Linked DNA regions of Arabidopsis thaliana. The protein of the gene in region 1 interacts with the protein of each later gene in a pairwise test. Each region holds a gene or a part of one and is shown in the gene's direction. Other genes may lie near its edges.

Region 1 (3,896 bases):
GATGCGTAACATGCGTTTATATATATACATTTCAAATTTCTCTTAAAACAAAACTCAGATCTACGTTTACAATTTGAAATCAAACACTATGAGAAGATGGTTCCATTAGAAGAAACCAACACAGATCCAAAATAGAAGTATGATCATGCCTAAACAAAAGTTAACGCTTACGTGGAAATTTTGTCGGAAACCCAACCAGCCCAAGAGGCGGTTTTGTCCTTTGTGTCATGAGCCGCATCGGACGCCATTTTCTTAGCGGTCTCGGCTGCGTTTTTAGCATGCTCTGCTTCGTTTCTAACCATATCCTCTGCTGTCTCCGTTCCCCATCCATAGCATTGCTTCTGCCACGTCAGCGTCACCACCGTCGTAAGCATCATAATCATCATCAACGTTCTTCTCTCCATTATTCCTATTCTTTAAAATTCCGATTTTTTGTTTTGTTTCTTGGTTCCAATCTTCATGGAGGAAGTTTCTAGTTATAGATGAGCGAGAGAGGGAGAGATCACATTCCTTTCTTTCACTAGATAAGCGGTTATTGTAAGACACGTGGTTATTCGATGATTACGTGGTTATTCGATGTTTACGTGGCAATTAAAGAGGCGGTTATGCTGGAAGTGCTTGCGACGTGTCCACTTGTGGTTCGATTTTGTAGGGTTAGTGTCTCCCGACCCGAGGTCACGTGGCCGGTCGCGTAGAGGAAGTTTCAATACTTGGAAAGATTAAAATAACCGGTTTAGAAAACCGAAGCCATGCGCTTAGCAGGGTTACAAACCGGATAATCCAGTAAAAAGGTAAATCAGAAAGTGTTTATTTTTTTACCTTTCTTAGTTAATCCAATGTTTTTTTTTTGTCATCTCATTTTTAAAGAAAACTGTTTTTTTTTTGGTTCAACCAAGAAAATTGATTTAAACCATAAAAAAACAAAACTAAGCCCAACAAGAAACCCAGCATGAGCCCAACCGAAAGTGAGAGAGGTGAAGAAGACACCAATTTTAAACGTTTTGACGATACAATTACAAAGTTTTCTAATAAGATAAGTCAGATAGTGTAAACTTTCACAAAAAATCAATTATATAAAATAATTTAAAATATTTATAAGAATCAATAATGATTATTGTAATATTCAAACATTTTATTTAAGAACAAAGATAGTTAAAAATCAACAATATTTGAGTATAAATCATTTTATTTATATCTTAGAAATGTTAATTTCAATAAACATAACTCACTATCATTATGAAAAATATATCTAGTAAATGGTATATATCTAAATTAAAAAAATTTGGGCCCATAACTCAAAATCTTTTGAATTTCATTTAATAATTTTTTTTATTATGTAAAGTACAACTGTATATTTTATCTAGTAATGATTGTGATATCTCAAAAATAGATAAATTTTGTTTTACTGTATAAATATTACTTGCATTAGCTGTATACAAACAAATAATTTAATGGATAATTTTGTTCAAGATTTTTCCCAAAAATATAGATTAAGTATTTTAACAAACAGCTCATAAAATTTTAATGTGCCTCTCATGGGCAGTTGGTGCATACATTTGTCAAACTGTTATGCATTTACCAACTAATATAATGATATTGCATTTGAAATATCATGAATTTTATATCCTTAAGAAATTTTAGAGATAATTATGTCCTTAAGAAATTTCAGAGATAATTATGAAATATTCCTCAAATTGGAAAATTAATTTTTTGGCAAAATTAAGGGTTGAAGGATTATGTTTACTTATAATGGACCTATAATGTATTACATTTCCATATGTAATACACCTGTATAAATATAAAGAACATATTTTATTTCTTAGCATCAAATTTGTCATTTGTTTATTCAAATTTTTGAGAAAATGGTGAGAAGTACCAAAGGTCGTCAGAAAATAGAGATGAAAAAAATGGAAAACGAAAGCAACCTTCAGGTTACTTTCTCAAAAAGAAGATTCGGTCTTTTCAAAAAAGCTAGTGAACTTTGCACATTAAGTGGTGCAGAGATTCTGTTGATTGTGTTCTCTCCTGGTGGGAAAGTGTTTTCTTTTGGCCATCCAAGTGTTCAAGAACTCATTCATCGCTTTTCGAATCCTAACCATAATTCTGCCATTGTCCATCATCAGAACAACAATCTCCAACTTGTTGAAACCCGTCCGGATAGAAATATCCAATATCTCAACAATATACTCACTGAGGTAAACAATTTTGTTTTAAAGAAAAATGCAAGAGAATTATATATATATATATATATATATATATATATATATATATATATATATATATATATATATATGCCAATTCTATGTCTATAACTTAATTTGTTAAGGGAAAAAGAGACCATCAATAGTTAGATTGTTTTCAAATCGTATCCATAGTTAGATTGTTAAAGATATCAAATGGTATCCATAGTTAGATTGTTTTCTTCAAAATGTTCAAATATATAAACCATATCTCGTTTTTTTCACAACATGATGAAATGAATCTCATTGCAGGTGCTGGCAAACCAGGAAAAGGAGAAACAGAAGAGAATGGTTTTGGACCTATTGAAAGAATCCAGAGAACAAGTAGGAAACTGGTATGAAAAAGATGTGAAAGATCTCGACATGAATGAAACCAACCAGCTGATATCTGCTCTTCAAGATGTGAAAAAGAAACTGGTAAGAGAAATGTCTCAATATTCTCAAGTAAATGTTTCGCAGAATTACTTTGGTCAAAGTTCTGGCGTGATTGGTGGTGGTAATGTTGGCATTGATCTTTTTGATCAAAGAAGAAATGCATTCAACTATAATCCAAACATGGTGTTTCCCAATCATACACCACCAATGTTTGGATACAACAATGATGGAGTTCTCGTTCCGATATCCAACATGAACTACATGTCAAGTTACAACTTCAACCAGAGCTAGAGTCTGAAGCTAGAAGAACATCCTAATCAATATTTGCGTTATTTTGGCTATGGTTACTGTTAGGATTGTTCTTGTATTGTGAGACTTAAGTTTGTTTTTTCTTTTAATTTGTTTCAGTTGGTTGGTTTTTCATTTTATTCGTCGTTTGTTTTCCTTTGTTTTTGGATATTTTTGTATCCAGAATAAATTTATTTATCCTTTAATTTTACTTATATTTTTATTTTTATTTTGCTATTTAAGCTTAATGTTATATACTGAAATCAAACCAGATTTACAAATGAACAAAACAATTTTTTAAGAAACCCTCATCAGACAGAAATGAATCTAATGTTAACAACGAGAAGTGTTCATATGTAAGACTTCAAGATTCTGTAAAACTCTTTAACATGTTTAATCTAAAAATTCAATTTTAGGACTCATTTTAAAACAATCAGATTCTTCTTTCTGATCAAGTAAATGACATGTATAATCAAAATCCAAATGACTAAGAGAAGAGTAATGGCTGAAAACCTTCAGAAGCAAGCATATGCCTTCGGTGATGTTCTTCAACCTTATATTCAACAATCTCTTTAAAAAGCTGTGAATCCAAAACACAATCCGCTCGTCCGTACACTCCAGCTTGTACTCCAGCCACAAGCTTTGCAATCTCACGGCCAGAGAATCCTTCTGTCTTCTTTGCAGCCTCAGAAATCACTTTATCAGTTAAGTCTTCTTCAACGGTAATCTTCTGTGACAGCTTCTTAAACAAATGACTCCATTTCGGTTTTGTGTCTTCGTTGTTATCACCCATCTTTAGATATTTGTTGAGATAGAGATTGAGAAGCTTGAAACGTTCTTCTTCCCCTGGAAGTGGGAACTCAATGACTTCATCAATCCTGTCTGTAACCGCACTATCGAGATCTCCACGTCTGTTTGTAGCCAAGACAAGAACAATGTCCCGAGATTGATCACCAGTTCGGAAGAGCAAAGCGTTCAGAGCACTACGTTGAG
Region 2 (3,425 bases), on another chromosome or scaffold:
TTTTGGGTATGCAGGACAGAAGTAGCATAGAAAGTCAAGAGCAACAATTTCGTTTTTCTTCTTTTACTTGTGCAACAAAGCGAAATGCAGGCATTTTGAACAAACCTAGTCTATTAAATAAACCAATGGAAGATGCAAAAAGTTATTATGAATCATCAAGCTGGGAATCTAACTCGGTAAAGCTAATACACGATAAACAGACTTAAGATGTTTATTATCATATCAGATGATCACCATCAAAAGTCCTGGGATGATTTATCACTTAACCTAATATAAACTTTCCCCCAAAAAAGCTAAGAAGAGATGAAGCAACAAAAGGATACGCAAGATCTTGACTTTCATAGCTTCCTCCTGGATAAATAAAAACCTTCAATCAGTTTCAAAAACCCTGTTATAAGCCTAAAGATGGTTACAGACTCGTAAAATTAGAGACTACTAACAAAAGACTACACAAACAAAAACTCAAGGTATAACTCTTCTGTGCAACACGTATACAAGACGTATTTGAAAGTTAAGCCTTAAGATTAGATAAAAATATCATAAACCAAAACAAAGACAAAATATGAAATTTACGAATTGAATGTTTTCTCTTTCAGGCATTTAATCGAACAACTGGTATGCCAAAATCAAACTTAGATCAGTGAACTCCACAGAATCATCGGAATGAGAATGAAGAACGATCATCAGTACCGAACGCAGAATAAATCAGTGCCAAGCAACGGAATTTGAGCGTAATTATCAAGAACTAATTATCTAAAACTGGTACCACATTACAAAGTCCGAAAAACAAGATCAACAAGAACATACCTAAAAAATAAGTGTGAAGATCGATGGTGTAGCCGAACGATGAAATCGAAATAGAAAAATTCTTAACCGGGAAAGAAATTTTGCTGGCAATGGCGAGAGGATCGGACTTGGGAAAGAGCGTGACGAAACGAAACGAAGGAGAAAAAGAGACGGACGTGTTTCATTGATTTTGGCCCGAGAAATAAATTGGGCTTTAAGATTAAAAGCCCAAATAACGGGTTTGTTTTTACTTATCCAATCTACGAAAGTTATGAAGAGATCATATGATGTCACTAATCTCGATATCTTAATTCTTAAAAGTATTGAAACGATGGATTATATTAAAACTTTTTTAATTATGATATATACATGTTGGATATAAACATATCTCTTTTTGGATTTGATCATTCATATATCTGAGAATGTTTGATCATTTTTTACGAAGAATATGTTTATTTTCAATATTACTAGAACACTACAAGTTTACAACCAGTTAAATACCTTTAGTACTAGTAAATCTTATTTAAAAGAATAATTTTTTTTTTACAAAATCTTACGTAATATACTTGACAACCTGTAAAATTAGTTGAATACCAAAAAGTATTTTATCATATCCAAATATAAATCATTAGAGAAGATGCAATGTATTGAATACATTTTCTAAATCTAGTTATTAGTCCTATTGTCCACGAAAGGTAAATAATTTTATTGAATGTACATATTAGCTGTTATTCAAACTAAAATAATAAATATTTATAATTTGTATTTTGATGTACATACTTACATAGAAAACAATCTCTAAATTTAATTACAATATATATATCTTCATCATCTAAATGGAAAGTTCTTTTATTGTTCTCATATTATTCATTCATAACCAGAATTTATGATGTAATCTTGATGTAGCCAACTCAAAAACTTTGGCCAATAATTTTTGTTATTTGTACCAAGTGGCATAACTATGCATTATTTCATATTAATTAAGAACTTTGGTGCATTTAATTACAATATTTTTAATTGCCAGCTATTTGTGAGATCATCACTTGAACAGTTGATTGTTCCATATAAACAAACTCATGATAAAAACAATACACAACATACAACAATACAAAACATATTTGATACTAGACATACAAATTCCTTTTTATTGTTGTCATTACCATGACGAGGAAGAAGCTAAACCTATCTTACATCACCAATGAGTCAATGAGAAAAGCAACATTCAATAAGAGAAAGAAAGGGCTTGTGAAAAAAATCCACGAGCTTTCCGTTCTCTGCGGAATCGAAGCATGTGCAGTGATTTATAGTCCGTTCAACTCAAACCCTGAAGTCTGGCCATCGAATTCAGAAGTTAAAAATGTAATGGAAAATTTTGAGATGTTGACAAAGTTGGAGCAAGAGAAGAAAATGGTGAGCCACGAAGGTTTTATCAGACAAAACATCTCAAAAACTATGGAGAGTAACAACAAAAAGATGATCGATAATGCGGAGAGGACGATGAAAGAAGCCATGTTCCAACTTCTTAGTGGAAAAGGGGAGAAGCTTAATTTGACTGATAGAAACCGTGAAGATTTGTGTAAGTACATTGATCAATATCTTAAAGAACTTTATCACCACAAAAACAAAACCATAAATCAATCACATATTGAACCTGGAGAATCTTCGGGAGCTACAAATGCCATGACACCAACATCTGTTGTTGAAGTGAGTTCTTATTCCTTTCCAATTATCTCGATGTTTTCAACTCTCCTTGACTAATCAATGATTTCTCGTCTTTGAAGCCTATTATCTCTTCAATCCAGCGACCAAATCAGGTTAATATCTTCTCCAGTAATTTTCTATCTAGTGATGCTGACCAGTAAAGTTATTCTCTAGTGATAAATCCATTTGGTGTTTATGATCAGAATCCAAATTTTAATCATCTTAGTCATAATCAATATCAATATCAACAACAGTTTGGATATCCGATTTTGGTTCAAGATGGAATTTACAATCCGAGTCAAATTCAGAATCAACATGAGGAATGGCTGGATGATCATATGATGAATCATTCTAAGGAAATAAGTCATCCTTTGATGGATGATAACAACTTTTACTACCAACAACCCTAGATATGTATTCTCTATGTATTTCATGGATTTAAAGTTAACTATTTAATCAATATTCGTTTTTTATGTTGTTCTAATGCCGAATAATTTATTTCTCTCTTTTTTATATATTCAATGTCGTTTTAAAATTTTATTTATTTTCACAAAACTATCATTTTATATTTTCAATGTTGGTTTTTAAACAAATATCTAAAATAACTTTACTACTTAGTTTATAATCTATTAATTATATATATAAAACAACGGTTAAAAACATAATGTAATCCTTAGCATATATGTGAAAATGAACTAGAAATAATATTTTCTCCATCTTTACATTATCGATAATAGTTTCTAGTTTTGGTTTTGTTCCTTGTATTATTTTGGGTTGCAACATTGATCCTTGTTAAACAATATGGGGGTGGAGATCCATGTGGGGGTGCAAATAGATGGTACTCATTACTCTAATTTAGTCAATTAATATAGACCGATGAGTACTGATGACCATTAAGGAGTCTTCCAACATAGTACTCCAATCACCTTTTCACGATT

Evidence for each region.
Region 2: the proteins of AT4G36590 (region 1) and AT3G05860 interact in a two-hybrid assay, tested with the Arabidopsis thaliana proteins (one large-scale study listed by BioGRID).

What each region holds. Positions count from the first base shown.
Region 1 is NC_003075.7:17,260,156-17,264,051, reverse strand, and holds AT4G36590 (MADS-box transcription factor family protein), read left to right. Parts: upstream 1-1,824; 5' UTR 1,825-1,862; coding exon 1,863-2,195; intron 2,196-2,492; coding exon 2,493-2,906; 3' UTR 2,907-3,115; downstream 3,116-3,896. Other genes in the region: AT4G36600 (Late embryogenesis abundant (LEA) protein), read right to left, coding at 172-404; AT4G36580 (AAA-type ATPase family protein), read right to left, coding at 3,391-3,896.
Region 2 is NC_003074.8:1,750,878-1,754,302, reverse strand, and holds AT3G05860 (MADS-box transcription factor family protein), read left to right. Parts: upstream 1-1,895; 5' UTR 1,896-1,947; coding exon 1,948-2,490; intron 2,491-2,567; coding exon 2,568-2,600; coding exon of another isoform or gene 2,601-2,648; exon of another isoform or gene 2,649-2,690; coding exon 2,691-2,897; 3' UTR 2,898-2,918; downstream 2,919-3,425. Other genes in the region: APC11 (anaphase-promoting complex/cyclosome 11), read right to left, coding at 1-28.